4 linked regions of the Pelodiscus sinensis genome follow. The protein of the gene in region 1 interacts with the protein of each later gene in a pairwise test. Links are inferred from orthologs where the notes say so. Each region holds a gene or a part of one and is shown in the gene's direction. Other genes may lie near its edges. The genes, in order: FHL2, NRF1, ITGA7 and NIBAN1.

Region 1 (7,860 bases):
CCTTTGGAGCTTTATTTATGATTTGGAAAATTGCAGAAATGAGTTTTTATGGTGGGATGGGCTTATTTATTATGAATGTTTTTGATGAGACCAATATTAACTGTTGCAAATAACATCAGTATTATTTTTAATTTGTATTATGGTAACACATGGAGGCTTCATTGTGTTAGGCACTGAATGCACACAAAAAAGACAGTTCCTGGCCCAAAGAGCTTATACGCTATCCATGTTACCAGACAGGAAAAAGGAGTATTAGATGAAGAATAAAGCAATCTGGTTACGTCTAGAGTGCAGCACTTTTCCGGGATACCAGAGGTATCCCAGAAAAACAATACTGTGTCCACGGAATGCATCCGCTTTTCTGAATTTTTTTTTTCAAAAAAGCGGATGCTCTCTTTCGCCATCCCTGTAAACCTCATTCTATGAGGCATAAGGAATGTGTTGAAAGATCAGGTCCTTCCGAAATTTGGTGCCATATAGATTTGCCAAATTTTGGAAAAGCCTCTTTTGAAAGAAAATCAGGAAAAAATACACAATTTTCAGTACACAAATTGCATATCTTTTTCCGATTTAACTCTGCAGTCTAAATGTAAGCGGGGGAATGATCCCGCTATTGTGGGGAACTTTCCTGGCTTCTATACACCCCGGTGAAATGAACCAGCAAAAGGATCTGAGTCCCCGCTCCCACTTCCTTTACCCCATGGCTCCCTGATCCTGAGGGCTCCCCCTCCACTCTCCTGAGTAGCAGAGCCCTTGAAACCCCAACAAGGCTGGGCCCAGGTTTCCTGGGGCTTAATCCCTGACCTTGTAGTCACTAGGGGCAGGAGTTAGGGTGTCCCCACTCCGAGGTGCTCTCTTTACACTGCAGGCCTTCTTGGCCCAGTGATCACTTCATAAGGTTCAAAGCAAATACAATTTATTAAACAACAACTGGTTAAAGAGAAAAGAATAAGAAAAAAATGAGAATGGTTAAATGAGAACACACAGCCCTGCTCTGTAGCACAGGGACATCAAAACAGCAGCCTGCAGAGTGTAAGGACAGTCCACAGTCTCTTCCTTAGAGGCCTTGGATGTGCTGCGGGGGGGGAGGGGCTGCAGGCTGGACACGCTTGCTCTGGCAGTGACCACACAGCCTCAAGCTCTAAGTGGCCAGACCCCTCTCCCAGTCCAGAGCCTCTCCCCACACTTTGCAGTTCCCAGCTGCTCACCACATCCAGCTGCAGGCTGTGCTGTGTGGCCAGTCTCTAGCTTCTTGCATTGCTTCTCTGTTCCTTTTGGCTCTCTGAGCACTGCCAGTCTGCTGCTCAACACAGGGTCTGCGCTCTTTGAGCTGTGTGTGTCTGGCTCAGCTGCTGCAAAAACTGCCCCTCAGCACACAGCTTGCACTGCTTGGGCTGTCTCTCAGCTCTCTGTTCCTTTTGCAGGACTTCTTCTGCACACAGCTTGCTTTGCTTGGGCTGTCTCTCAGCTCCCTGTTTTTGCAGGACTTCTTCACACAGCTTGTACTCCTATTTCAGCTCTCTGTCTTTGTAGGACCTCTTCTGCACACAGCTTATTTGTTCAGAGAGAGAGCCAGAACAATCCCAGCTCACAGGGAGGACGGGGCCTGGCCTCTCCCCTTCCTCACTGGCCTATCCAACCTGTCAATCAGGCTGAGCTGGAGTGTTGGCTGCTTTCCATTGTCTCTGGGGTCTGTCAGCCTCCTGAACCCTTCCCCCTCTGAAAGTGGGAGCTGGCAAACCAAAAAACTCCCACAGAGTTTTAGTAAGGGGTAACAGTCCCCTTACATAAACATAGCCTCTGATTAGTTTACTAATACCTGCACAAGGAAATTAGTTCCAAATAACCACATTGGTCGAGGGTGTGAAAAAATCTGTGCTGCTGAGTGATGAAGTTAAACGGTCCTAATCCTTGGTCTAGCTAATGTCTCTTGGGGAAAATCCCTTCCCACTGCAGTGTTTTAAGTGTAGACAAGCTGTAAGTATCAATATCATTCACGCATTCTCTAGGCCCCGTCCCAGCTTAATGCCAGTGAACAGGACAGGTACCTGTTGAGTTGTGTGAATCTTTCATAAATCTAAAACAAAATGATGTATTTTTCCATTCTCACATCTCATTGGATAGTCCTTGTTATGATGATATGTGATCATGCTTATGGCATAAGCATTATCAATATGGGAAAAGTTAGAAAAGTGTTATTCCTACAGTACAAAACTTGGGTCATCTGATTAAATTAATAGGCAGCAGGTTTAATACAAACAAGAGAATGTACTTTTTCACTCAATGCACAATTAAATCCTTCTCACAGGATGCTGTGATCGGCCAGAAGTGTAAATGGGTTCAAAAAGAGAATCTAATATGTCCTGGAGGATAAGTTACTCAAGACAATTGCTATTGGTCAAGATGGTCAGGAATGCAAACCCGAACTTGGGATGGCCCTAAATCTCTGAGGGTACATATACACAGCAGGGCAAAACTTGAATTAAGCAATGCAATTTCATCTATATCAATTACATAGCTGAAGTTAAAATAGCTTAATTCAAATTTTGGCACTTTCTACACAGAGGAAGTTGAAAGAAGAACACTATTCCTCTGACTTCTCTTATTTCTCATGAAATGAGGGTTACAGGAGTCGGAGTAAGAAGTCCTCCAGCTCACCATTATTTCAAAATAATGGCTTGCAGTGTAAATGCACACTATGTTATTTTGGAATAATGTCTGTTATTCCGAAATAATGGTTCTACATAGACACACCCTGAAGGTCAGAATATAATAATGGGTCACTCCAACTTCCCTGTTCTCTACATCCTCCCCAAAGCTCTGGGACCAGCCATGGTCAGAGACAGGATACTGAGCTAGGTGGACTATTGGTCTGACCCACTATTGTCTGACCCTTGTGACCTTACTTTTTGTTTCTTTCTCCTGGGAGAAGAGACTGTGAGTGTGTCCAGAGTATTATAGAATAGAGATGGAATCCATTCAACTCCCCAAATCTAAACATTCCTGAACTTTTGGGAAGTTTTGGTCTTGATCCCAACTTCATGAGTGAGTCCTGTCTGAACCAAAACTTTAGCTCTGAACTTATGAGTCCCAAACATTGGGAGATTTTGCAATTATCTTCCTTCTCTTTAAAGCAAGGGACTGTGGGCTTGAGAACCTCAGTTGAATACTGCTACAGATAAGAAAGATGGACACTTTTGTTATTAGGACCCAAGCCATTTAAATCTTCATTTGGGAAACCAACTGGAAAACAGCACAGAATATGGTGCACAGGTGTAATGCAGTCCACATGAGAAACTACTTCATAGGCAGGCAGTTACATTCGGCAGTAATTTTGAATGGTTTTAAGGTGTAGTTGCAAGCATGGGGGGTTGGTGCTGCTGGGGCTGAGGGAGGCAAGCCTGCAGCCCCTCCTACAACCCCACCCCCTCTGCTGTGGAGCAGCATGCTGAAAGCACCCCCTCCCCCAGGAAAGGAAAGAGGGAGAAGGGGGCATGTGCACACGCCCAAGCCTCCCCAGCCCCTGGAACACTGGGGGAGGGAGGAGGCCATGTGGTGTGGTTCCTGCCACCCTGGTCCCCAGAATACCAGGGTAGGGAGGAGGACACATGGCAAGGTGTCTGGAGCACCGGGGGAGAGAGGAGGTCACATGGTGCAGGGCTTTGATTTGCTTTGGGAGTCTCCTTGGCCCTCCAGTGACAACACAACTCTTCCCTCTCTTAGTGTACCTTAACTTCTTTGCTCTCATAGTATTGGAGTGTCCTTCTCTTATAGCTTAATATATTAATTAGCCAAGGTCACTAACATATGTCAGTTGAATTACTATGGTTATCTGTGGTTAGGCATCTGCTAATATGTCCTCCAAAAATGTTCTAAAGATGATAGGTACAAACTTCTTGCAACATTTGTGATTGTTAGAAGACTATACACAGAGTCTTATGCCATCTTGTGACTTAAGATCATTGTTAGTTTTCTAACTTATAATAGCTTACTATTGATCAATTATCCTTAGGCAGGCTGAAAGGACTCACGCTAACTGCTTAAGTTATCCTTATCGATCTAGGCCTACAAGTCTTGCACCTGTGCTGTCAATTCCTTACCTCTCTATCTTATGATTACTGCTATAATTACTGTACAGCTACTGGAGAATAACTGAATCCCCAGGTTGCAGCCTGCTCAGCATTCCCAGAACTATAGACAGTTGTGCTGGCTGCACCCCACACGTAAAAGCTAGTTTCAAATCTGAATGAGATAATCCAAAAAATGGCTTGAAAACTCTTCAGCGCAAGAAATGCTCAACTCTGTCAGTGGATGAAATGGCTCACTTAACCAGGTTGTTCACCAAGCAAGACCATTCTGCTGAATCAAACTTTGCCGGCATTAGGAAGAAAATTTCCCATGGGCAAATTATTTAATTACTGTCCATTATGAGGATGCTTGCACCTTCCTGTGAGGCATCTGATACTAGACTCTGTCAAAGACAGAGTGCAGGAGTACAAAGACCAGCTGCTCTGATGCAGCATAGTTATTGCTGTGTTCCTAATTTCCCTTCACATGAGGATTTAATTAAATAATAAAAAGTGTTGAAATTACTTGCCATTAAATTAAGTAAATGTGTGGTACAATGCAATAACACTAAACGGGATATATATCATCTTGTTTCTTTCAATGGAGTTAAAGGTAACCTTACTATATTTTAGAAATGTGCGTCTGTCGGTCTGTCCGTCCATTTGTGAGTTCATTTGTTCAAGAACAATGGGACGCGTCTGGAATTTGATTATTTCTCATAAAATGGTAAGTGAGAAGTCTGATAGAAGGGACAGTTATACTGTAGAATGACCACAGGGGGGCAGCAAGGAGCCAGAAATGGGGACTGGGGTAGCTATAACCCCACTGGGCCAGCAAGGGGTAGGAGTGGAGAAAGGGATAGCCAACTACTATATATTTCAGAGAGTTTGTCTGTTTATGTGTCTGTCTGTGTGTTTGTCCCCCAGCTGGAGGACATGCACCACTCCCCAAGCTGTGCCAACTGCAACTGCAGCAGCCATGATCAGACACTTTTCACCTGGCCTCAAGCTACTACTTTGAGAAAGGGCTGGGGTTGTCCTCTCTCCCCAGGGCAGCCTGAATACTGAACCTCTTATCCTCAGCCCCACCCCAGAACAATGATTAAAATTAAGAAAAACAAAACTTACTTGAGTTAAGGACCAGAGCAATGCCAGGTAAATCTTCTAGTAAGTCATAAATCTGAACCTGCTTGTTTTCTTCTTCATGACAGATCAAGAGTCTAGACACCAAAATGACTGAACGCTTTGACTGTCACTACTGCAAGGAGTCCTTGTTTGGCAAGAAGTACATCCTGCGAGAAGAGAGTCCCTACTGCGTGAAGTGTTATGAAAGTCTTTACTCCAACACCTGTGAGGAATGCAAAAAACCAATTGGCTGTGATTGCAAGGTACTTTGGACTTGCATTTCATTGACATCACATCTGTCAAAACAGATAGGATAGGTCCATTCCCCACACGGGATCACTACAACACTACAGGAGAAAAGGGATCTGGGTGGAAGAGATCTGTTTCATAACATCTTATCATAGAATCATAGAATCATAGAATAATAGGACTGGAAGGGACCTCGAGAGGTCATCGAGTCCAGCCCCCCGCCCTCAAGGCAGGATCAAGCTCCGTCTACACCATCCCTGACAGATGTCTATCTAACCTGTTCTTAAATATCTCCAGAGAGGGAGATTCCACCACCTCCCTTGGCAATTTATTCCAATTTATTAATTAGGTAATTAAGAACCTGACCTTCCACTGTGCTAAGCACCTCCTTGGAGAACCATGGGAACTGAAGATGCTCAACATTTTCCAGGAAGTGCTTTGATCCAGATTCCCAAGAATATTCATTAATTTTGAGTGCCTCACTTGATCATGGTTTGCCTCATTTTTCCAAGGTGCTGTGTAATCACAGTTCCTATTGACTTAGTGGTTTAGATGCTCAACACTAATGAACACAAGCTTTCTATGGTTCTAATGTTGGGCACCCAAAGAGTGAAATACCAAAAATTATAGGGTCGCTTTTGAGAACTTGGGAGTTAACCTCTCTGCCTCAGTCTCTCCTGGGGTTAAAAGAGGCATACTAATAATTACCTGTTTTACACAGCTAGTGTTCGGATGATTTGAATGCAAGTGAAGTGCTTCAGCTGAAAACTGGAGAGTACTTTTTACCATCTAGAAGAAACTTAAAATATCAGCCTTGTATTTGATAGGCTAAAAAATGTTAATGAGTTTCTTTCTGAATGATACATATTGATATTTTAACTGTTCATTTAACAGTAAAAATATTACTCAAGTAACACTAGGCAGAAGCTATGAAAGAGACAACATGCATGTCCCATACACTCTTGCAGCAGAAAATGTCCATAGAACTAACTTAACTGGCTACCCAGGAATTCCCCTGTAGCAGGGTGGACTCACGATTGACAGATCTCTTTGCAACTGAGTGTGATGTAGCAGCTGTTTCCTCCCCAGTCCCCTCTTGCAACAGTCACTATGATGCTGTGGCAGTCTGCCTTGTCTGGTGACTCAGCACTCCAGCCAGGTCTCATTTTAGTCCTAGCCCCTTCTGAGGTACCAAAAGTTCAATAAATAATTCCAAGGCCAAGTCTCTGGGCCCTGACCCTGGGCCTGATGCTCCTTACATCTTTCAAATCGGGATTGTGAATCATCCCTATTCTCTTCTGTCAGGGGAGCTTTACATCACTTTTCCAAGGCCAGTAGGAGAACCCAAGATCAGCCTCTGCCTGGCTTCCAGTCCAGGGATCCTAGAATCAACAACTAAGGTCTGCTTTGCCAGACATCTCATCACAGCCTCCTGCAATTCCATTCTACTATTAGCCTTTCCTCAGGCCTTTCCCTCTGCCATTTCCCAGGCCCTTTCCCTCTGCCATTTCCCAGGCCCTTCAGTTCCTGCCCTTGTGCTGGGGTCTTACCCTAGTACTGTGCCTTCACATCATCTTCCCGGCCTGGACTTCCTGCTTCCACAAGTCTCTCTACGCTATAGTGATAGCAAAGCTCTGTCTTATCTCTCTCTCTCTGCAGTTCCAGACTTCCAGCACTCCATTGCTTCTTCCCAATTTTATCTTTTATTATGCCTTACCTGCCCTCCAGGTACAGCCAGAGGAGTTAACTGACCTCTCAGACACACGCTAATGCTTTCACCACATGTGTGGGATACAGACTCCCATCACATCAGGCCTCTATGTGCGTGGGGGGAGTGTGCCAAAGGTGTGAAGGAAGAATGAGGGGCTCTGTTGGGACAGTGGGTCCAGAGCTCAAGCTCAGCCACCCTCCTTCCCCCCATAGCAGGGATACTGCGCTGGTACTCCAGCCTCGCCCTCCCTCCCCCAACCCCACACTAGATTGGAGCACCAGTGTCAGCTTCCCATGGGGGGGGGGGAAGGGGAGGAGGGAAGAAAGCCCTGAGCTTCGCTGCATGATCCAGCTCATGGGGAAGAAGCACTTCTGCTCCCCCTCACCTCGGTGGGGGAACAGCAGTGAGTGGGCGTGCTGCTTGGAGGGTTTTACCACTGCTCCCATTGGCTAGAATCTGACCAATGGGAGCAGCAGGAGGCAGTGCCTGGGAGCGGCACGGAGCATGAAGGCAAGTAATTGCCCCCCACCCCCTCATGCCCAGACTCTCACACCCCAACCTCCTAATGCATTGAGACAATTGGGCCAAGGGCCAAAAAGTGTGAGAAACAATGTGTTAGGGGGATGGGAGAGTGCTGTGTTGTGGGGGGTTGGGTGGGCGGGGCTGGTGGCAGCACCGCAGGGCTGGGGGAACGGTGGCCCCCACCAA
Region 2 (7,514 bases), about 230 Mb from region 1:
GAATACCCTGGCATCATGCACTCTATCCCTGCATCCCATATTGGTATCCATGATCTTCCCTCCATGTTTGGCTTGCATAGTTAGTGAGTAGTATACGTTTTGGTTTACAAAATGATGAGCTTATTGGGTGGGAGAGGGAGCAGATAATGGGCACACATGTGCTGTCAATGGCCCCAAAACAGAAGATCTTGAAGTCACTATGGATAATTTTCTGATTAAATAAATAGGCAGCAGGTTTAAAACAAACAAAAGAAAGTACTTTTTCACACAAGTCACAGACAGCTTGTGGAACTCATTGCCAAGGAAGGTTGTGAAGGCAAGCACTATAAATGGATTTTTAAAAAAATAGATAAATTCATGGAAGATAGGTCCATCAGTGACTATTACCCAAAATGATCAGGGATGCAAATCAATGCTCTGGGTGTCCTTGAACCTCTGACACTGAGACAGGACAACAGGGGATGGCTCACTTGATGCTTGGCCTGTTCTGCTCCTTTCCTTTGAAGTATCTAGCACTAGCCACTATTGGAAGACATGATTCTGGGCTAGATGGAGCATTGGTCTCAGTATGGCCATTCTTAAATTCATATGCTAAAATATAGGTAAGTATTTACTCCTTTAGGGGAAGAAGCATTTACACTGGAGTGAATTGTTTTGGTAAAGTTCTAAATGTAGGATTTAAAAAAAAAATCAGATCTACACATTGATATGTATTTGTTAGAAAAAGCAAGGTCAAAGAAATGCCTGTTGGCCTCAGGGAGGCAGTTAGTGAGGTTTGTGATACTCCATAGATATTTACGGAGTTTATTCCACAGTCTCAGACTGGCTCCTCAGAAAGTTTTTTCCTGCACAGGTGAGCTTACCCTTATTGTTGAAAGTTTCAGTGTACCCAAAGGAGCACAAATGTCTATCACAGCCTTCTCCAGAGCATTAGGTAGTATTTTTGATTTCCTGCACACAGGGCATGCAGTGCCTTGGAGATAAGGACTGAGAACTTGCATCAGCTTCATTCCTTGCTAGCATGGCATAGCCCTTTCCAACATGGCATTCAATGGCCCCATCCTCCCGGTAAGGCCTTAGCTTTCATAATGTGCTTATATTAGGGATGTTAAAATGTGTTTAAGTAATCATGTAACTGCTGAAAATGTCAGTGGTTACATACAAGCTGGTGTGTGCATGGAGCTGACTTTTAAGTTGGTACCCTGTGCATAGTGGCTCTACCTCCTTCCCTCCCTTCCCTCCAGTGCATGCCAGAAATTTCCTTACACTCCCTCCCCCATGGGGGTGTATACCGCTCCTGAATTTCCCCAACACCCCCCCAGTTTTGTGAACTATGATGCCATACATCTCACCTTCACCCTCACGGTGTCACCCCTCATCAGCTCTGACACCCCCCTTGTAAATTTGAACACCCCCCCCCCCCAATTTCAATTCCTGGGGCGACTACTGCTGATGTGCTGCGGGATGAGCTGGCTTTTAAGCCTGCTCCCTGCATATACCAGGAGCTTGCGGGTATCACTTTCACATCCCTAGCTTTCATGTGCCTGATGGTAGTTTTCTCATTTCAAGATCCTTTGGTTCCATCCTTCCCACCATAGCACCCATTGGCCCATCTTCTTCCCTGCTGGGCCTTGCCTGTCCCACCCTAGCACCCACTGGCCCATGCCCCTGCCTCAGAGAAACCATACAGGAGAGAGTTCAGAAGACTGGAAAAGGGCAAATATAGTGCCCATCTATAAAAAGGGAAACAAGAACAACCCAGGAAACTACAGACCAGTTAGTTTAATTTCTGTGCCAGGGAAGATAATGGAGCAAGTAATGAAGGAAATCATCTGCAAACACTTGGAAGGTGGTAAGGTGATAGGGAACACCCAGCATGGATTTGTAAAGAACAAATCATGTCAAACCAATCTGATAGCTTTCTTTGATAGGATAACAAGTCTTGAGGATAAGGGAGAAGCGGTGGATGTGGTATACCGAGACTTTAGTAAGGCATTTGATACGGTGTCGCATGATATTTTTATCAATAAACAAGGCAAATACAACTTAGATGGGGCTACTATAAGTGGGGGTACATAACTGGCTGGATAACCATACTCAGAGGCTACGTCTACACTGGCACCCTTTTCCGGAAATGCTTAAAACGGAACAGTTTTCCGTTATAAGTATTTCCGGAAAAAGTGCGTCTACATTGGCAGGATGCTTTTCCGGAAAAGCACTTTTTCCGGAAAAGCGTCTGTGGCCAATGTAGACGCGCTTTTCTGGAAAAAAGCCCCCATTGTCATTTTCGCGATTGGGGCTTTTTTGCGGAAAAGACTACTGTGCTGTCTACACTGGCCCTTTTCCGGAATAGTTTTTCTTGAAAAGGACTTTTTCCCGAACGGAAGCAGCATAGTCTTTCCGGAAAAACACTGACAATTTTACAGTAGATCGTCATTGCTTTTCCGGAAAAGCAAGCGGCCAGTGTAGACAGCTGGCAAGTGGGGTTCTGCAGGGGTCTATTTTGGGACCAGCACTGTTCAATATCTTCATTAACGATTTAGATATTGGCATAGAAAGTACGCTTAAGTTTGCAGATGATACAAAGCTGGGAGGGGTTGCGACTGCTTTGGAGGATAGGGTCATAATTCAAAATGATCTGGACAAATTGGAGAAATGGTCTGAGGTAAACAGGATGAAGTTTAATAAAGACAAATGCAAAGTGCTCCACTTAGGAAGGAACAATCAGTTTCACACATACAGAATGGGAAGCGACTGTCTAGGAAGGAGTACTGCAGAAAGGTATCTAGGGGTCATAGTGGACCACAAGTTAAATATGAGTCAACAGTTGCAAAACTGTTGCAAAAAAAGCAAACATGATTCTGGGATGCATTAACAGGTGTGTTGTGAGCAAGACACGAGAAGTCATTCTTCCGCTCTACTTTGCGCTGGTTAGGCCTCAGTTGGAGTATTTTGTCCAGTTCTGGGCACCGCATTTCAAGAAAGATGTGGAGAAATTGGAGAGAGTCCAGAGAAGAGCAACAAGAATGATGAAAGATCTAGAGAACATGAGCTGTGAAGGAAGGCTGAAAGAATTGGGTTTGTTTAGTTTAGAAAAGAGAAGACTGGGAGGGGACATGATAGCAGTTTTCAGGTATCTAAAAGGGTGTCACAAGGAGGAGGGAGAAAACTTGTTCATCTTGGCCTCTGAGGATAGAACAAGAAGCAATGGGCTTAAACTGCAGCAAGGGAGGTTTAGGTTGGACATCTGGAAAAGGTTCCTAACTGTCAGGGTGGTCAAACACTGGAATAAATTGCCCAGGGAGGTTGTGGAATCCCCATCTCTGGAGATATTTAAGAGCAGGTTAGATAAATGTCTATCAGGGATGGTCTAGACAGTATTTGGTCGGGCCATGAGGGCAGGGGACTGGACTCGATGACCTCTCGAGGTCCCTTCCAATCCTAGTGTTCTATGATTCTGTGAAATACTGCATAGCTCCCGTCCACCCCAACACGCCATGGGCTCTGCCCTCCCCTCACAGTACCCCATGGGCCGTGCCCCCTCCCCCGTCACAGCACCCCACGTGCCCTGCCCCCCCCCACAGCACCCCACGGGCCCTGCCCCCCCCCTGGTCACAGCACCCCACGGGCCCTGCCCCCCCCCGGTCACAGCACCCCACGCGCCCTGCCCCCCCCCCTGGTCACAGCACCCCACGGGCCCTGCCCCCCCCCGGTCACAGCACCCCACGCGCCCTGCCCCCCCCCCTGGTCACAGCACCCCACGGGCCCTGCCCCCCCCCGGTCACAGCACCCCACGCGCCCTGCCCCCCCTCAACACCCCACGGGCCTTGCCCCTCACAGCACCCCACGGGCCCTGCCCCCCCCGTCACAGCACCCCACGGGCCCTGCCCCTCCTCACAGCACCCCACGGGCTCTGCCCCCCCCCTCACAGCACCCCACGGGCCCTACCCCCCCCTCACAGCACCCCACGGGCCCTGCCCCCCCCTCACAGCACCCCACGGGCCCTGCCCCGTCTCCCCGTGAGGCTGGAGCCGAAGCGCGCTCTCTACTGACTTCCGCGGTTCTGTGTGACTCCCACAGGACCGAGCTCCCCTTATCAACGCGGGGGCTTGACCTGCCCAAGATGGCGACCTCCCCCCTCCCCTTTTATCAGCCCCTCCGACCTTCCCAACATGGCGCCCGGCGCCCCCCGAATCGCCCCTTTCGCGGCAGGCTCCCCCCGTCCGACCTCCCCAACATGGCGCGGGGCGGCGCCCCCCCCCTCCCGATGCGGCGCGGTGCCCTCCTCATCATGGCGGCGGCGCCAGCCCGTGACGTCACGCGCCCTCTCCTCGGCCTCCTGCTGCTGCTGGTGCCCGCCTCTCGCTCGCTCGCCATTGCGGCGGCTCAGGGCGAGCCGCGCCGTGTCCCCGCTCGGCTCCCTCCCCGGCCGCCGCCTGGCAGAGGCTCCACGGCGCAGGCCCGCTGCAGCGCAGCCGCTCTGAGGTGAGTGTCCTACCGCGCAATCTCCCAGCTCCTCCAGCCCCGGCGCAGCCGCAGCAACGCGGGGCCCCCGCCGGCTGCCCAGGCACCCCGCTCCGGAGCCCGCGCCGCCGGCCCGGCCTCCCCCGGCCCGGCCCAACTCCCAGCTCGGGGCCGCGCAGGCCGCGCTAGGCCCGGGCCGGGGTGGGCTGAGGGGCGGCGGGGGCGGGATCCTGCCCCCGAGCGGGGTGCGGCGGGGGGGCGAGGGGAGGGGGGTCGCTCGCTCTCCGGGGCGGCCCCGGCCCAGGATCCCCGCCTGGCCCCCCCTTCTCGCCAGGCCGCCCCCCTTGGGAGCAGGGCCCCTCCCTGCGGCCCCTTCTAACGGGGGGGGGGGGCTGCTCGCTCTCCACATTGGGGAGCGGGATCCCTGCCTGGCCCCTCACCCCTAGACCCCCCCCCTCTATCCAGGGCTGATCTGTCACCCCAGAGGGGAGCGGGATCCCTGCCTGGCCCCTCACCCCTAGACCCCCCCCCTCTATCCAGGGCTGATCTGTCACCCCAGAGGGGAGCAGGATCCCTGCCTGACCCCTCACCCCTAGCCCCCCCCCCTTCTATCCAGGGCTGATCTGTCACCCCAGAGGGGAGCGGGATCCCTGCCTGGCCCCTCACCCCTAGCCCCCCCCCCTTCTATCCAGGGCTGATCTGTCACCCCAGAGGGGAGCGGGATCCCTGCCTGGCCCCTCACCCCTAGACCCCCCCCTCTATCCAGGGCTGATCTGTCACCCCAGAGGGGAGCGGGATCCCTGCCTGACCCCTCACCCCTAGACCCCCCCCCTCTATCCAGGGCTGATCTGTCACCCCAGAGGGGAGCGGGATCCCTGCCTGGCCCCTCACCCCTAGACCCCCCCCTCTATCCAGGGCTGATCTGTCACCCCAGAGGGGAGCGGGATCCCTGCCTGGCCCCTCACCCCTAGACCCCCCCTTCTATCCAGGGCTGATCTGTCACCCCAGAGGGGAGCGGGATCCCTGCCTGGCCCCTCACCCCTAGACCCCCCCTTCTATCCAGGGCTGATCTGTCACCCCAAAGGGGAGCAGGATCCCTGCCTGGCCCCTCACCCCTAGACCCCCCCCTTCTATCCAGGGCTGATCTGTCACCCCAAAGGGGAGCAGGATCCCTGCCTGGCCCCTCACCCCTAGACCCCCCCTTCTATCCAGGGCTGATCTGTCACCCCAAAGGGGAGCGGGATCCCTGCCTGGCCCCTCACCCCTAGACCCCCCCTTCTATCCAGGGCTGATCTGTCACCCCAAAGGGGAGCAGGATCCCTGCCTGGCCCCCCCTTCTCGCCAGGCCGCCCCCCTTGGGAGCAGGGCCCCTCCCTGCGGCCCCTTCTAACGGGGGGGGGGGGGCTGCTCGCTCTCCACATTGGGGAGCGGGATCCCTGCCTGGCCCCTCACCCCTAGACCCCCCCCTCTATCCAGGGCTGATCTGTCACCCCAGAGGGGAGCGGGATCCCTGCCTGGCCCCTCACCCCTAGACCCCCCCTTCTATCCAGGGCTGATCTGTCACCCCAGAGGGGAGCGGGATCCCTGCCTGGCCCCTCACCCCTAGACCCCCCCCCTCTATCCAGGGCTGATCTGTCACCCCAGAGGGGAGCGGGATCCCTGCCTGGCCCCTCACCCCTAGACCCCCCCCCCCTCTATCCAGGGCTGATCTGTCACCCCAGAGGGGAGCAGGATCCCTGCCTGGCCCCTCACCCCTAGACCCCCCCTTCTATCCAGGGCTGATCTGTCACCCCAGAGGGGAGCAGGATCCCTGGCTGACACCCCTCACCCCTTGACTGCCCCCTTCTATCCAAGGGAGGGAAAGGGGCTGATCTGTCACCCCAGAGGGGAGCAGGATCCCTGGCTGGCCCCTCACCCCTTGACTGCCCCCTTCTATCCAGGTGGGGGAAAGGGGCTGATCTGTCACCCCAGAGGGGAGCAGGATCCCTGGCTGACACCCCTCACCCCTAGATTCTCCCCTTCTATCCAGGGGGAAAGGGGCTGATCTGTCACCCCAGAGGGGAGCAGGATCCCTGGCTGACACCCCTCAGCCCTAGATTCCCCGCTTCTATCCAGGGGGGGAAAGGGGCTGATCTGACACCCCAGAGGGAGCAGGATCCCTGCCTGACACTCCTCCCTTTCTACCCATAGCGAAAGGGGCTGCTCAGCCTTCCCTCCGGGAAACAGATTCCTCACCTGACTCCCCCTTCCATCCAGAGATGGGGAAAGGGGCTGTTCTGTCACCTCTCTGGGGAGCAGATGCCTTGCCTGATCCCTTCTCTCCTGTCCGGGGATGGGGAAGAGGGCTGCTCCGCTACTCCTCTGGGGAGCAGGATTCTCGCCTGGCCCCCCAGTTCAGGGTTGGGGAAAGGAAAAAGGGTTGGAAAATGACCACCCCCCTGCCAGTCCAGGGAGAGGGCTGGAAGATGTCTCATCTCTGCTCTCCAGGGGGAAGCGTGTTTTCCCAGATCACCACTCTTAATGTAGGGGAAGTGGGAAAGAGTGCACCTGAAGGGACTTATTCTCTCTTTTCAGAAGTGAGCTTGGTTGCTGGCATTAGAGGGCAAAGGCGGGATTTGTATCCCTGCCCGCTAACCACTGCTGTTCATTTCAGATGACATCTGAAAGTATCTTCCCTTTTCCCCCTATCTTGAACAAATTCTGCCGTTCTTTAGAAGTGAATCATGGGGACAGGTCTGGGCTCTCACTCCTTCCCTTTCCAAGGAATGGAGAGAGGATGGGTGGCATCAGAGGCAGCCAAAAACAAAAGCATGTATTGCATGAGCTGCCAGTGTGGGTGTGTGACAGGAGGCAAGATCCCTGTTGCACTCAGGAAGAGCGTAATACAGTGGCCCTTACACATCAGGGTGTGTTTACCTTTTGCAGATCCCTCCCTCCATGGCTATCTTTTTGCTCCTCTGAATGGGTTGTGTTGCGGATAGGTCTAGTCCCACCTTTGGAAATTAGAAAGGTGGTTCAAGGTACTCAGGTTTTCTTTTTGTAAAGAGGAT
Region 3 (7,736 bases), on another chromosome or scaffold:
GCAGCTCTCTCTCGCAGGAGGGTCGGAGGTGGTAGCCGGGCTGGCATGTGAATGCTCAGCAGGGGGAGTCTGAGTCCGCCCCTCCCTGAGATGACAGGGGCCGTGCACACTCCTGTGAGCTATGGGGCCAGGCTCTTTGCAGACACAGGCAGGGGCAGCTGTCTGGCTCATGCCCAGGGCACATCGTGAGGGTTCCTTGGCCGCTGTAACTGCAGCTAGATGTGAAAGTGGAGACTGGAGGCGAGCCGGCTGCTGCAAGGAGGTGCCAGGCGGGTATATGGGCATGGACCAGCTGGTTCTGGGCCATGTCATGTTACCATCTGGCCTCCTCCTCTACACTCCCGCTTCTTCCCTTTTCTCTGCCATCTGGTGAAGGATGCTCCCTGGGGGGGCTGAAGGACTTCGCCCTGGCCAGAGTTAATGGAGAAGGGTTGGTTCTGCTGCTTTCAGGAACTGGAAGGCTGCTTGGGAGCGGTTCCCTCTCTGGGTGGGTCCATCTGTAGAGGCCAAGGCCCATAACCCCCTGTTCTCAGCTCTGCTCCCAGCCCTCTGGCTCCAGCAATTTTCCCCACCCACAGAGATTCCTCTTGCTCTGGCCTCGCTTTTTTGCCAGCTCCACCCACGGCCCCCAAAGCCCTCAGGGGACTTTTCTGGCTCTGAAACTGAGGCCGGGGCTTCGTGCTGCCCTAGAGGCCCAGCAGTAGCTCTGGGAGCCAGAGCCAGCCAGCTCATCTCTCCTCCCCGTCACGTGGTCTCTTGGCTTGGCTGAGCTGGAAGGGGCTCTCAGAAGCTGGTGGGAACTGAGGTTTCAAATCCAACTGAGTCTTTTCAAGACGGGATGTTCCCCTTACACTCACCCTCCCAAGCTGCTGCTCCCCCCCTCCTCATTTTTCACACTCTGATCTTGGTCAGCGAGAGAGGCGGTGTTGGGTGAGTTGCAGGAGGTGCGCCCTTGAACACTGAATGTGGAGTTGGCACCTGTGTGAAAACAGAACACACACTCCCAGTCACTGCTAAGGTGATCACAAAAACAAGCAAAGTGATTCCAGAGAATACACACACACACACACACACACACACACACACACACTTCTAGTGCTCTCTCAGCTGCAGACCACCCGCCATTTACATAACACCGTCCACTAACTAAGCAAACGCCATGCAAAGCCAGCGGCTGAGGCTCAGCTGGCCATGCCCTTGCACAGAGCAACTGGCATGTGGCTGCTCTGTCCCAGGGATGCAGTTTAGGACAGGAAGTGAAGCGGGATCTCGGATTCAGGTGGAGAGGCTGACGGATGCTGCGAGGTGTTCTCCCAGCAGGCTGGGCCTTCTACCCTACAGCCCAGAGGTTTGGCTGGGGGTGAGTAACAAACTGCCCAGGGATGGGGCGGCTCTGCCAGGCTTGTGCCTTTGCAGCCAGGCTGGGTGCCTTTTTGGGAGACGTTTGACCTGACAGGGGTTGCTGGGCACAGGAAGTGGGGGGTCACTCTCTGGATTGTGACTCAGGAGGACAGGCTACATGATCTGTGAAGGGGCTGTTGGCTGGCCAACGCTGTGACAGAAATCCAGGTGTTGATCTCCTTGGGTGCCGCCCACCACGGTCAGAATTGTTCTCAAGGCCCCAGCTCCAAGAGTCCTGCGATGACCTAAAACCTCCAGCCTTCACTGCAAAAGCAAAGGCAGGTTCTAGCCTCTGTGGGTGCAGAGAGAAGTGACACCGCTGGCCCGAGAGAGATCCAAAAGCAGCGCCCCCGATCGTTGTTTTTCAACATTTTAAGCCAGCCTCCTGATCTTGGGACCCTTGCGGACTTCGGAAACCTGGGCTGGGCAGGGGTGAACGTAGCCGGCCCAGGGCAGTTCTACCAACCGCTGCGCGTCCCTGCAGAAGAGCCACGGAAGCAAGAGAGGCCAAGAGCAGCTTGCTTCACTCACCCGGCTCTGGGCCCCACTGAGGCTCCAGTAGACAGATTGCCGAGTGGCCCCCTCTCCACTGAGGACATCCCAAGGCTCAGTTTCATTTACACCAGCTGTTCCTCTCCTGTCCCAAGCCCCATTGCTTCCGAGACTCTCTGTACCCACCTTGCCTGCATGACAGCAGCCTCCTCCCACCGGGCCAGGTGGAAAGATGCTGCTGAAAGAGCGGGGTGGGAAGGGGTGGGGGATTTCTGGGGTCTGATCTCAGCTCTTAGGTCTGGCACAGAATGTTTGGGGTGGCAGGGCCGATGTGCAGGGGGACAGAGGCGAAAGCCCTAGGCGCCCTTGGGACAGTGGATGGAACTGGGTCCATTCCCAGGTGGCCCTTCAGAGAAGGAATCATCCATTCCCAGTGCCAGCCAGGCTATCCAAGGGGAAAGCACTGGGGAGGGAAAAGCTCCGAGGGCCTGTTTGCCATCAGGCAGATGGTCCCACAACCCGGCTCTGCAAGGGGCAGGGTCACCCCATCTGTCCCCCACTGCCTTGGGGGCAGAATGCAGGAAAACCAAAGTGAACCGACCAGGGGCAGGAAGGTCGAGAGTCACCTGACTGTTGCGCGGCTGCATCCGGCATCCGGGCTGCAGCCCGTTCACGTGGATGCAGCAGCCCTGCCAACTCGCAAATCTCTTGTGAAGCCCTTGGTGAGCGGGAGCGGTTTAAAAATAGCTGGTGTGCTGGAAAATGTGACGCCCCCACGCTCCCGTTTGGGGCCAGGCCCGCGATCCACAGGCGGCCGTTCACTCTCATTTGCAGCCATCCTGCCCCAACAGCAGCACCGCGTGCCATTCCTCCCTGGGCCGGGAAACCTAGCAGGGGCTCACTCTGGCCCACTTTTGCAAGCTCCCTGCAGCCCAAGCTATGCAGCAGAGCATGGGCCAGCGTGCTGGCAAGCTGGCTGCTAAGGACTGCTAGTTTCCAGTTCCCTTTTCCCAGCCTTTCCCCGCAGGGGGCGCTGGAGGGCGAGGGGCAGGAGCACTGGCTGAGGTTACATGTCCCAGCCTCTTCCAGTAGGGGGCGCTGGAGGGCGAGGGGCAGGAGCACTGGCTGAGGTTACACCTCGCAGCCTCTTCCAGCAGGGGGCGCTGGAGGGCGAAGGGCAGGAGCGCAGGCTGAGGTTACAAGTCCCAGCCTTTCCCCGCAGGGGGCGCTGGAGGGCGAGGGGCAGGAGCGCAGGCTGAGGTTACACGTCCCAACCTCTTCCAGCAGGGGGCGCTGGAGGGCGAGGGGGCAGGAGCACTGGCTGAGGTTACACCTCGCAGCCTCTTCCAGCAGGGGGCGCTGGAGGGCGAGGGGGCAGGAGCACTGGCTGAGGTTACACGTCCCAGCCTCTTCCAGCAGGGGGCGCTGGAGGGCGAGGGACAGGAGCACTGGCTGAGGTTACACGTCCCAGCCTCTTCCAGCAGGGGGCGCTGGAGGGCGAGGGGGCAGGAGCACTGGCTGAGGTTACACCTCGCAGCCTCTTCCAGCAGGGGGCGCTGGAGGGCGAGGGGGCAGGAGCGCTGGCTAAGGTGACAATAGCCCAGCTCCAGCCACTCTCGGTAGGGGGCGCTCTAGGAGTTGAGGGAGGCCGGGGGCGGTAGCCCCAGCAGGAGGCGCTGTGGGGAATAATGCAGGGAGCTGGTTGCGGGGAGTTCCCATCCATGGGCCGCCAGAGGAGAGAGGGTCTCTTACAGCTGCAGTGGCGGGTATATCGCATGTCACCCCAGCGCACCCCCAAAAGTGCCTGGCGCTGGGGTGACATATGTTGTTTAACTGGGAGCAGCAGCCCGGCACCGAAGGATGCTCGTTCGAGCACGGGAGCGAGGGGCTCAGGAGGCTGCCTCGGGTCTCCCCCGAGCGGAAAAAGTTCCTGGGTGAATCCAGTGTCCTGAGCTCCCGCCTGGCCAGGGCGTGAGGCACCGTGGGACTCTGCCCTCGTGCAGCCCGGTGTCCTGGCCGGCTTCCACCGGAGACCTGGCGCCTCTTTCGCAGCCTGCCCGGCCGCCCCGCCCCAGCAGGCAGCTGCCGACTCCCCCCAGAGGTGGCTGCATTTCAGCGCCGGCCAGAGGCTGCTTCCCCCTGCAAAGCACGTGCACGGGAGGGGGCGGCGCCCTAGGCAGTGGCCGGGTCCGGGGGCCGCTGCCAGAACAACCAGTTTCTCACGCTCCCCGTGCCGGGTTCGGGGCCAGCACCTGCCCTGCTCCGTGCGGCCGGCGGGGAAGGGGCGTGTCCGGCGGCCGGGCCCGGTCCCCTGTTAGCGCGCGGAAGAGCGGAGCTGTGGAGGCTGTTCTGCCGGCAGGATGCGGGGAGCGCTGGGCGCCGGGCTCTGCTGCCTCGGCCTGCAGCTCCTGACGGGCGCCGCCTTCAACCTGGACGGGACCCACACGCTGCTCAAGGACGGGCCCGGGGGCAGCTTGTTCGGCTTCTCTGTGGCGCTGCACCGGCAGCTCCGGCCCGAGCCCGCCAGCTGGTGAGCGCCGAGCCGGGGACCCCGCTCCCCCAGCCTTCCCGTGGGGCGGGGGACGAAGAGCCGGGAGGTCCCGTGGGGAGGGGGGGTGTCAAGTCTCGGGGTCCGCAGCGGCGCGGGAGGCGGGTTCTGCACCCTTCGCCGGGCCGGGAGGGGAGGGGAGAGGAGAATCTGTAAAACAACCCCCCCCCCCCCGTTACTCCGAGCAAGTTTCAGGGGGTGGGTAGCAGCTCGGCCCCCCCCCCCCTCCCTTGGCTCTAAATAACTGCGCAGGGTAGCAGGGTGGGGGGTATTCTCCTCTCGCCGATCCCCGCGGTGTGTGTGTGTGGGGGGGGGGGCAGGGTCACATCTGTTACCCCTTCCGCCTGCCTCGCCCTGCGCCCCTCGCCCCGCTGGGAACTTCCCCGACCCGCCGAGGCGAGGCAGGTTCCTTCTCGCCTGACCCCTGGATTCTCTCGGGTCTCCTGTGCGGGTCCAGATGCAGCTTCCAGTGGGGAGCGCTGACCGCCCCCCCCCAACATCTGTCCAGAGACAGTGCGGAGGTCTCCCCTCTCCCATGGAATCTGCCCCAGGGCGGATCCGAGTCTAAGAGCCAAGCACTTGTGAACAGCCACAGCCCGGACTCCTGGGTTCTTTTCCTGAGTCCCTGGGTGGCTTCGGGATGTACCTGTCAGCTCCGGAGCTTTTCCCTGGGCACGATTTTGGCACCGATTTGCGACTTCTCTGGGACCCTAAAAGCAGCAGCTCTGTCCCCTCGGGGGAGGGGCACATTTGAAGGCAGCTCTGAGTTGTACAGGGACACCGGGGGCCTGATCTGCCCCCAGCTGCACTCCAGGCTCCTGACAGAGCCATATCCTCTGTCCCCCACCCTACGGGTGCCCCAGCGGCCAGAGGGGGGTGCTGTCTGGAGCAGCCAAGGCTCCTCACCGATGGGAGCAGATGCCCAGCTCTCTGTGGCTTGGGCTGGGGAGCTTGTCTCACAGCAGCTCCTTCCTCTTCCCCCTTCGCTGGGGGGCGGGTGTGCAGACCTGCTGGTGGGAGAACGTGTGTGAGTGGGGGGGGGGGGGAAGAGTGCTGAGCTGTATAATAATCCCCCACCCCTGCCTCTCAGCAGAGCTCCCCGCACAAGACAGTGTCACTGTCCCCATAGTGCAGGCAGGGAAACTGAGGCATGAGGTGGGGCAGGGACTTGCCTAAGGTCGCTCTGTGGCAGAGCCGGTCCCAGTGCTGTGCTCCTGCCATGAGGCCCCTGCTGCCTTCATGTACGTGTAGTGAGGTCGGCAGTCGTGTGCCAGGGCGGGTGATGCCACATGTGGCCAGGGTGTCACTGAGGGTTCGGTGGATGGTGGCTTTTTCAGCACTTTGTGATCCTCAGCTCAGCAGTCCCACTCTGGCTGTGTCTGCCCGGCACGGCTGGGCTCTCTTTGGGGGCAGGGATGGGGCTCCCTGGGGCAAGGGATGCTGGCAGCTCCCAGCTGGCCCAGTGTGAGCCCTGCTGCTGGCTGGGCTGAGCTAGGGCTGCAAAGGGTTAAATAAAGCTCTGATGAATATTAATGAGGCTGTGGGCGCAGCTCAGAATCATTAATGAGCCATTTAGGTGAGGGGCCCAGACACTAGAAGCCATCAGGGCTCAAATCCCTGCATCCCCTCCTTGCCTCCTCCAGTGGTAAATTATTCAGCAGGGACGGGAGCTGAGCCAGGAGAGGAAATCGATAGTGCGGACCCCAGGCTGGCTGGAGCCATGGGGGTGAGAGGCTGAGATCCCCCACGGCCTGCCCCAGCAGCAGCAGTATCAGTCCCATGCCTGCTCCGTGGGAGGTGGGCATATGGTGCTTCTCTGGGCGTGTGTGGCCTGGGACGGCACTACCTCTGGGCTGGGGTGCATTTAGTGCCTAGAGCAACAGCGCAAGGTGGGGGGGAAAAATGCAGATGAGGCTTGTGATCTTATCATGCTCCCCCCCAGGACTCTTCAGTGCCCCCCAACGAGGGAGGGGGTGAACTGGGGGCTCCTCGCAGCTGCTTGAGGCCAGGCGAGTCATGGCTGGCATTGCTGGTGCCCCCTGCTGAAGGTAACGCAGGGCTGGCGTGGGCGCAGCTGCAGCCCGGGAAATGTGCTCTCCCTTGGCACGCCCCCGGTGTGATCTTTGCTGGCTCCCGCCTTCTGGCCTGTCACAGTTGCTGCCAACGCTCACTTGGATTCTGGGTTGGCGGCTGGCTTCTCACAGCAGAGCCGACCCCAGCAGCTGGAACTCCGGGGGCAGCAGCTGCTGGGTCCCTGGCAGCGGGAGCCCCTCCTGGTACCCTGGTAGTGCCCAGCTGCTGGGAGCATCCTCTGAGAGCGCCCTCACTGGGTCCCTGTGCTGAGAGCCATCTGTCCCTGGGGGGGTCTGCTGCAGAGGTTGCTGCCCGGAGAAGATAAAAAAACTGTCTTGTAAAACAGAATCCCTTTGGCTTCAGCTAGAGCAAAGCCCGGTCTGGCTCAGTCCGTCTGGGTTGTGAACAGGTGCTGGGGGAGCGCTGATCTCACGCCCTGCCTGGCGCTGGACGGGTTCCCATATGCGACTGTCTGTTTCTTGCGGGGGAGCTTTGGTCACGTTCCTTGTTCTCCATGGCGAAGCCTGTCAGACGTTCCCGGAATTCCTCCCTGCGGGGGGATTTGCTCTGGCAGCTCGGAGCCACCCTGGCGTTCGCGCTGACGCACCACGGACAAAGCGCTGGGCCAGTGCAAACAGTGGCAGGGCTTTCGCACGCTTGTGGAGGCGGCTGGGGGCAGGGAAGGCGGCTGGGAGACGGAGCCATCCTGCCCTTGGCACGGGGGCCTTTCTGGGGTCCATCTGGCATGTTTCTCAGTCCTTTGGAACCATCAGCATTGGTTCTGTGCCTGGCGGCTTACGCAGCACAAAGGGAGTGTGGACGGTCGAGCGCTGGTCTGGGACCATCATGCAAACACGGGGGTGGCGTATATGGCTGCAGTGCTCAGGGGACCCCCTCCCCCACAGAGATCGGGGCCTCCCTCGTGCCAGATCCTGCCCCAGCTGAGTCCAAGACCTTCTGCGCTCTGAGGTGCTCACAAGCTAACTAGAGAAGACAGCCCAAAGGCAGGAGGGGAAACGGTCACGCCGAGGTGCTGGGGCTTGCCCAAGGTCAGCCAGCTGGTCAGTGGCAGAACTGGGAATAGAAAGGTTCTGCCCAGTTCTGGGCCCCAGTCTTGCTGCCGAAGGGTGTTAGCCATGTGTGGCTAGCAGCCCCGGGGAGAAGCAGGGACTGGCGTCAATTCCTGCGTCCATGAGGCCGCCTGGCCTTCAGGTTGCCAAGG
Region 4 (8,210 bases), on another chromosome or scaffold:
TGTCTACATTAGGGAAGTATGCCTCAGACTAATTTTGCGGCTTCCCTGAAGTGTAGATGTACTATTTCAAAATAAGCTATTTTGGAATAACTATTCCAGAATAGCTTATTCTGAAAGAAATGTGCAGTGTAGACATAGCCTATGTGTGCAGAAGGAGGGATCCTGCCGGGGGGAGTCCATGATTCCACCAGGTGACTGTAATTTGTGTTAATGGCTTTTTTCCTCTGTGAATTAATGATGTAAACCTTCACTTTAACAGAATACCAATAACAAAATAGTCAAAAGTGGTAGAGAGAAGTGAGATCGATGAAGATTCTGCTTTCCTAGCCTTTGTCTCTATTTGTTTCAATGTTGGTTCCTTTTTTTTCTTTTTCTCTTTTAAGCATGGTTCTAGTTGCATTGTATATATGCTAAATGACAACTCTCCGACAGCTCTGAGTTCTCTGTACTAAGTGAAGGCCTCACACCATAATGTACCCAGGAATTTAAGGACATCATTAAATCTTCCCCCAAAAAACTCCAAGAGAAACACTACACCCTCATTCCCCTGAATCCACCAGGAGACTTTCTACATGCTTCCCAAGATATACACAAACAGGCAAGCCCATCATATTTGACCATGACACTCTTACTAAAGGAACAAGAAGATACAAAAAATCACCCTGAAATCACTCAACACGAAGGCCTAGCTTCGGCCAGGAGAAGGGTTGGTTTCCTCCAGAAACTCTGCAACATTAACAACCTCCAGAGTAAATATGTGGGGGGACATGAAGGGTCATTCATTATCCCCAATTCCATGGGTGAGCCCAACTGCTGCCAGAGCTCGGCTCCCTATAGGCCCCCACATTGCTCCGGAAAAGGGATTTGTGGGAAAGATGGAGGGGGAGTGGGAAGGGGCAAGAAGAAGGAGGGCCTGTGTTGGGGTGGTGCAGGGAGGAGTCACTTGGGGGGTGGTAATGTGACTAGTGCCCCCCTTTGGTCCCTCACCAGAAGCCACCACTGACAGTCTCCTTTGGAACATCATCCTTGCCACAATGGATGTCACCTTCCTTATACCCCAACATCCCTCACCATGATATACACCCCAAACACATCACCAGCTCATCCATTTCACCCTTATACATAACAATTTTACATTCAATAGCAAACGCTGTGCAAACCACAGGAACAGCTGTGGGTACTGGGATGGCTCTTCAGTATGCCAATCTCTTCATGGGCCACCATGAGGAATTATTTCTGGACAATTGTACCACAAAACTAATGGGCATGCCTGAGACAGAGCAATGGTATTTTCATCTTTTGAACAGGCAACCTGAACTCCTTCACAGATTTCTGCCAAAATGTCAGCTACTCCTACCTATCTATGAAATTCTTTCTAGAATTTTCTGACACTATGATCAGCTTCAACAATGGAATCCTAGAGACAGCTATGTACACAAGAAACTCACTCCTACCTTCACAGATCCAGTACCTACTAGAGCTGTCAAGTGACCTGCGTTAACGCCTGCAATTAACGCAGGACAGGATTAACGTGTTAACTTTAAAAACTCGTTAATCACAGGCGTTAATGTTGCGCTGCCTCTTTTAAGTACTGCTCCAACACTTCAAAGGGCAGTGCAAGCAGAGCTGGGTATCAGCTGGGGACTCTTCAAAGCAGAGCTGGGTATCAGCTGGAGCAGCACTTCAAAGGGACTTTGCAACAGTGGAGCCGGGGATCAGCTGGAGTCCCCAGCTGATCCCAGGCTCCTAACGTGCTGCCCCTTGGAAATGCCGCCGCGGCACTTCCAAGTGGCAGTGCTGCATAGAGTCCGGGATCAGCCGGGGACTTCAGCTGATACTGGGCTCCATAGATCGCTGCCCCATTGAAACGCCACGGCAGCATTTCAAAGAGGAGGCACACGATTAATCACGCGATTAATTGCAATTAAATTTTGTAATTGCTTGACAGCCCTAGTAACTACCATAAAGGTACCAAGAAATCTGTTTTCTATAGCCATAGAATAAGTTTCAATGAGAAAGTTCAGGATACATACCTTAACACACTGAACACCACCTTCATCAACCAAGGACCCTGCACCCAAATGTACTCAGAAAACCTGGTTCAACATAGAAATAAAAATGTGTTGGAATGCACAATCCTAATTGTCACCTACTTCCACATGGTGGAACCTTTATGGGGTATCATTAAATAATTACAATGCATACTCAATGGGGACTTCATCCTGAAAGAAAACTTTCCTGATCTCTTCTTCTGGCCTTCAAACAACTCTTGAAACTCATCATCAAAAGCAAACTCCCCACAGACCAAAGCAAAGCAGCATCCCACAACAAGAGATGTAACAAATTGCTCTACCTGATATTTATGCAGATTATGCAAGGAGTGAGAGCTATCTCAGACTTTTGAATTCATTGTCCCCTGGACTGAAGTAGTCCAAATTTGTTGCCATTTAGGACATATTACATAGTGAATCTTCAGAAAAGCATTTTCACACTGGACTAATCTAAATTAATTAAGATTAACCCCTTCCAAAAGCACTTGGATGGAAGGTACTATTTTCTGAGCAATAAAGATAGAACAGGCATTTATCTTAGAATAAAATAATTCATGCAAATTGCATGGTTTATCTCTTTCGTTTCAGATGTGTCTATGGGCTTTGGAGATAAATTTGACATTACAGGACATGCAACACTATATTAAGGCCACATTCTGCACTGATGCTACCTGAAACACCTTAAAGTTGCAAGACAATGCATATTGTAACTCTTTTGTTTATTTTCTAATCAGACACCTCAGTGGATGTGAAATGATCACATTACTGCAACTACCACATTGCTACAATTTAAAACCTTGTGAATAGAGCTTAACAAATAAAGATGTTAAAGGCCACTAATTATATTATGCCTCTAGAGAGCTGTCGATTTGAGTCTCAGTTAAGATATCCAAATACTTATGAGAGCCAGTCTTTATTAAGGCACTACATGCATCCAGTCTCCTTGCTAGAACAGTTAAACAATTGCCCAATTTCTATATATAACTGGCATACACCAATGAGGGACAGCTTAATACTGTGAATTAATATAGATTGACTGCATTAGGTAAGTTTTATTTGTATGCTTGCCAAAGGTTGTTTAGCACAATGCTGATTATTGCATAAAAATGTTGTATCTTTTTAGCTGTTTCAAATGGCATCATGCTGATTATTGATTTAAAAACTTTTCTTCTTGGATGTGAAATTTCTTAACTTGCTGTTGACTGATGAAGTAGCAAAATATTAAATGATTGAGGTATCAAATGCATTAATACAATCAGTGAAGGGAATACAAGCAGGATTAATGTGTTCAAACAAATTTGGAGCAAGTGATCAATGTAAAATGGTTGAAACAAATGTATTCACATGCCCAAAATACACAGTTTTCTGTTACCGGAAATGTGTAATACATAAGTAGCTTCTGTTCAATGCAGCTCAATTTCATAATAAAATTTATACTCTATACACAGTATTAAGTTGTTTTTAAATTCTAACAATCTATAGTGGCATGCTGCTGATCCCATTCAATTAACTTTCATTGTTAAAAAAACCCCAAAGAAAATGGGGGGAAACATTAGAAAACCACAAACAGTTGAGCAAAGTTGCATTAAAATAATTTTTAGATAGAAGCATGGAAATTCTTTGAATGAAGTTTGCTGTTGCACCAGTTTTGCATTTCTTTGACTTCTGTTGCAAACACATGATCCTTTATCTATAGCAGTAGTTTTCAGCTTTTTCATTTGAAAATGGCTACAAATGTCAAGTGGAGGTTCGGGCCCCTTTGGAAATCTTACACATAGTCTGAGGGTCACAGGGGTCTGTAGACCACAGTTGAAAACCACACATTGAAACGTATTTGTTTAGTCCTATCCCTTGAAGATATAATAGTTTTTGTGGTGACAACAATGACCTTACTTTTGTAGTATACAGTGTTGTATCTATATTTGTCCCAGGATATTCAACAGACAAGGTAGGTGAGGTAATATCCTTTACTTGACCAACTTCTAGATATTACCTCACTGCCTTGTTTCTTGCTTTTGTAACACTATCCTAACAGGGATACAGTCACAATTCAAGCCACTTGGCTTAAATTGTGCTGTGCAAATCCCAGTGAGGATTGTGCATTTAATTGCCGCGGATAGGATTGCTGAAAGAGGGGTTTCCCATTTAGGGCTTTGAAACTAAGGATCAAGTTCTTAACCTTAGTGCAATATTGGTACTGATGTCGGATAATTAAACACTTGGATTCCATAACATGCCACCACACTGGCAGGGGGAGGACCTGCCCTTGAAGTAAGGTCATGGTGCGTTTCCCTCGCTCTCTCTCTCTCTCTCTGGAACCTGCAGGTGTATGTATGTGTGGGGCGGGGGGGGGGGGTTTACCCTGAGATACCGCCTGGCTGGGGGAACAAGTTGTATCCGAATGACCCTGAATCATCAGGCAGCAGCTTGGCTTGGCGCAAGCGGGACTCGCCCAGTGACACCTTGGTGCGCTCCCTTGTGTGGCAGCAGGTGTGTCCGTGTCTGGGGAGGGGCGCACAACTGCGTGTGCTCGCGGGGGGCTACCAGCGGGCTAACCCACCCCTGCTAACCCACCCGCAGGGGACAGTGGCGCTGAGCGGTGACAGCCCCAGGCGGGGAAGCAGTGGAGCCTGAAGGGGCAGCAAGAAACGCCAGGGAAAGGGAGGAGCCGGCCGAGGGGACCGAGGGCGCAGCCCCGGGGGCGAGCAGCGCTCCCCGCCCAGCCCGCTGGAGCTGAGGCGGCGCCTGTTGGAGGAAGTTTACGCGCCGAGCAGAGACAACCCCTCCCTGCGGCGAAGCGGGCAGCCTGGCTGAACTGATCAGCTCCTCCCGGCCGGCCGCCTTCTCTGCAGCGCCATGGGCGCCTCCGCCTCCAGCCTGCTGGACGAGAGCAAATGCAGCTACATCCGAGGTACGCGCGGGGCGGCTGCTGCGCTCGCCGGGAGCCAGGGGCGGGCAGCGGCCACCACCACGTTTGCATGTGGCGGGGGGAGGCACCGGCTGCTTGGGGGGAAGGATGCGGCGCAAACCGCGAAGGCAGCGGGCAGACTGGACGGCTGCGGTGGGCAGGAGACAGTGAGGCTCTCGGGTGACGAGCCCAGGCGAGCTCTGCTGTGCCAGGGGCTCGGGCCGCCACGCGTGCCGAGAGCAGATGGAGGCTTTTCAGTTTTAGGGGTAACCCAAGAAAGCCAGGCCCCTCTGCCACGTACATTGGCCATACTGGCCTGCGTCGAGGCAGAAGAGTACATGGAAGCACATCTGACAAATGGCAGCTTCCACAAACCGGCGGGGAAGCGCTTCAGCCGCCCCGGGCACACGGTGCCAGACGGGAGTGTTGCTACACTTGAGCCAAACGCCCTCAAAACTAGACTGCAGCGTGAAACTGCAGGGTTGAAAGTCAGATGCAAACTTGGCTGGGTCTGACTGGAGACGAAGAATGGCTGGCTTGCTATAAAAAGTAATTTCTGCCTTTTAGTATTTCCGCCTTTTTATCCACTGTTGAGTGGGCCACAGCCACCCTGATTGAGTTGGCTTCCTTGGCACTGGCCCTCTCCAGAGTAATGTAACACTCCCCTTGCTGTATATCCCCGCCAAACTGAAGTTTCCACTTCACACACCTGACAGAGGGGACTCCGGCTGGTGAAAGCTTATCACTAAATACATTTGTTAGTCCTTAAGATGCCACAGGACTCCTCGTTTTTTCTTGAAACAGACTAACAGGGCTACCCCGCTGAAACTTGTCGCCAAAAAAATAGGCAGTTGAGACTGGATGATTATCAATCATACTTTGAAAGTATGTGGACAATACTATTTTGCCATTGCTGAAAATGCCTTCCATACTACTTGGGGGCCCATTAAAGTTGTGGGACTTTGGCAAAGCATTTAGGAAGGGGGCTAAAATAGCCCCTTGCAAAGTCCTTTGAAGTAAAAAAACATTTCCTCTAGGTTTTGGATTAGATAACAAATCCTTTTAGGATTATCTACCAGTAAGGGGTTTTGTCATTGTATGCCTTGTAATGTGGGATGCCTTACTGACACCAGTAGCTAGCCTACAAGCATAAGAGGCTCAACTCTGCCTTCCACCAACCTGGTTACTCCTTGCAGGATGACTTCAGCAATCCCTTTGGGTATTGAGTTCCTACAGATCAGTTTCCCTGAGTTCTTAATGCCCAGACATTCAGACATTCCCACTTAGGCATTTGAAGGAATTAAACATTTCCCCACCTGTCAGTTAACTTTAGCAAGCACTCTTCTCATCATTTGCACAATAGAGGTCAGTGTGGGGGTAAAAATACATAAAAGGTGTGTTTATTAGAGAAATCATAGAATCAAACAGTAAAGAAAAGCAAACACTGACAAGTTACACAGAAAATAAACATAAAGGCTTTACTCTTCTATGGTATCTAAATTTCCCTTTCGCCTTTCAGAGTATGGTAGCTCATGTTAAACAGAACAAGTGTCCTGAGTTTTCAATTTCAATGTCTTTCCATTAACTTTAGTGGTCTATCATTGTCTTCCCTTGTGTTGTTCCGTAGTAAGTTGTTGGAATTTAGTGTCATGGAAGCAGCTAGTCTGTGAGATGCTTCTGGCCCTGACTCCTTCTCCACACTAGAGTGATGCAGTTGTACCTGAGTTACGAGGAGTGTTCAACACATAGGGCTAGTTTACACTAGAAGCACTACATTGGAACTCTGTGCTGACAGGAGAGATCTCTCCCATCAGCATATTAAAGAGGCACTAGCTATGTTGGTGGGAGAAGGTCTCCTACTGACATAGCATTTGTTCACACCTGTGGTTAGGTTGGTGTAAATTGTGTTGCTGAGAGGTGTGCCTTATTCACACCCCTGAATAATATATGTTCTACTGAAGTAAGTGGCAGCATAGACCTGGCCATATATGCAAGCATATATTCATAGCCGTAATCTGTGTACGTCTCTCCTAATGGCCATCAAGTTCAGAACATTACAAGCTTTTATTGTAAAAGACCTTACTTGATGCATATTTATACACAACAATGTTGTATACAACTCAGTGACCTATTTCCCTGTGCAGAATATAGCACCCTATTCAAGAGAGTTCAAAGGCAATCAATCAGAACTATGCAGTACAAACCTTCAAATTAACATTAAGTTGACTGAGCCCACTAAAAAGAAATACAGCATAGTTGGATTCTTTTTATCTTCTTATTTTTAAGGCTTCAGGGTTTGCCTGGAAAGGGTTGCCACACACCCTATATACGTGGAAAGAGGTCACACACTCTCCCCTACACAGCTCTTACATCGGGGTGAGGGGAGGCGGAGCGACTGACTGACCTGATCCTCCGTGCCTGGTGCTCTCAAACGTCCATGCCTGGCTGGGCCCCAGGGACAAACTAGCCTCTCTTGGCTCCTGACTCCACAGTTTCCTGAAGCAATGTGTGTGTGGGACCACAAAGGGTCACATGCCCACTGATTTCACACCAGAATGTGGCCAGAAGCAGCCTTCTCGCACCGTGCAGGAGGGAAAGGAAAGGAGCTGCTTTCAGCTGCAGGGGAAGAGGAGGGAGAGAACGATGGATGAGGAGGGAGACAAGAATGGCCTGGCCCGTGTCTTTGCGGTGCTCATCTCTTCTCTCCCTTCACCTCCAACATTGGAAGAAGCTTGTCCCTTCCTACCCACACAGTGTCAAAAAGCAGCTAACACCTCCTGGTTGCTGCTGGCCACCTACATAACCCAGCTGCCTCCTGTCCCCTGGTGACAGCCTGGGCAGGAAGGGGTTAAGCCCTAAGAATGCCTTTTGCAGCAGGGCCTGGGGAACCTGATTGTAGGGGCTTCAGCAAACCTGGCCAGAAAGGTGGCTCAGCAAAGGATGGTTCCTAGAGGACGGAGCAGCTCAGTGCTTCTTGGGGGCAGGAGGTGCCAAGAGAGACTGCCAGTGCTGACCAGAAACAAGATAAGGGGCTGGGTCCTGCTGGCCGAGAGTTAGCATGCAGCAGGGGCTGCGCTGAGGGACCGGCAGGGAGCAGCCCGTCATGTATGCTCCATATTCCCCTCCACTGCCAGCTTTACACTCCCACCCCAATCACTGGGCACTTGACCCCCCATTTACCGCTGGTGGGCGGGGGCCTGGCATGCATGAATCTGGCCAGCAGTGGGACCCACTAGTACTGATGTGAGGGA

The links.
Region 2: the proteins of FHL2 (region 1) and NRF1 interact in binary tests that used the Homo sapiens proteins (3 or more experiments, as listed by UniProt). The two-hybrid records come from large-scale screens. The link is inferred for Pelodiscus sinensis from reciprocal best matches to the Homo sapiens genes FHL2 and NRF1.
Region 3: the proteins of FHL2 (region 1) and ITGA7 interact in a two-hybrid assay, tested with the Homo sapiens proteins (2 studies listed by BioGRID and IntAct). The link is inferred for Pelodiscus sinensis from reciprocal best matches to the Homo sapiens genes FHL2 and ITGA7.
Region 4: the proteins of FHL2 (region 1) and NIBAN1 interact in binary tests that used the Homo sapiens proteins (3 or more experiments, as listed by UniProt). The two-hybrid records come from large-scale screens. The link is inferred for Pelodiscus sinensis from reciprocal best matches to the Homo sapiens genes FHL2 and NIBAN1.

The regions. Positions count from the first base shown.
Region 1 is NC_134711.1:233,436,143-233,444,002, reverse strand, and holds the start of FHL2 (four and a half LIM domains protein 2), read left to right. Parts: upstream 1-4,686; 5' UTR 4,687-4,755; coding exon 4,756-4,794; intron 4,795-5,278; coding exon 5,279-5,455; intron 5,456-7,860. UniProt on the Homo sapiens protein: May function as a molecular transmitter linking various signaling pathways to transcriptional regulation. Negatively regulates the transcriptional repressor E4F1 and may function in cell growth.
Region 2 is NC_134711.1:4,287,344-4,294,857, reverse strand, and holds the start of NRF1 (nuclear respiratory factor 1), read left to right. Parts: upstream 1-4,327; 5' UTR 4,328-4,485; intron 4,486-7,514. UniProt on the Homo sapiens protein: Transcription factor that activates the expression of the EIF2S1 (EIF2-alpha) gene. Links the transcriptional modulation of key metabolic genes to cellular growth and development.
Region 3 is NC_134729.1:4,582,873-4,590,608, forward strand, and holds the start of ITGA7 (integrin alpha-7), read left to right. Parts: upstream 1-4,212; 5' UTR 4,213-4,253; coding exon 4,254-4,423; intron 4,424-7,736. UniProt on the Homo sapiens protein: Integrin alpha-7/beta-1 is the primary laminin receptor on skeletal myoblasts and adult myofibers.
Region 4 is NC_134719.1:55,876,037-55,884,246, forward strand, and holds the start of NIBAN1 (protein Niban 1), read left to right. Parts: upstream 1-4,665; 5' UTR 4,666-4,907; coding exon 4,908-4,962; intron 4,963-8,210. UniProt on the Homo sapiens protein: Regulates phosphorylation of a number of proteins involved in translation regulation including EIF2A, EIF4EBP1 and RPS6KB1. May be involved in the endoplasmic reticulum stress response.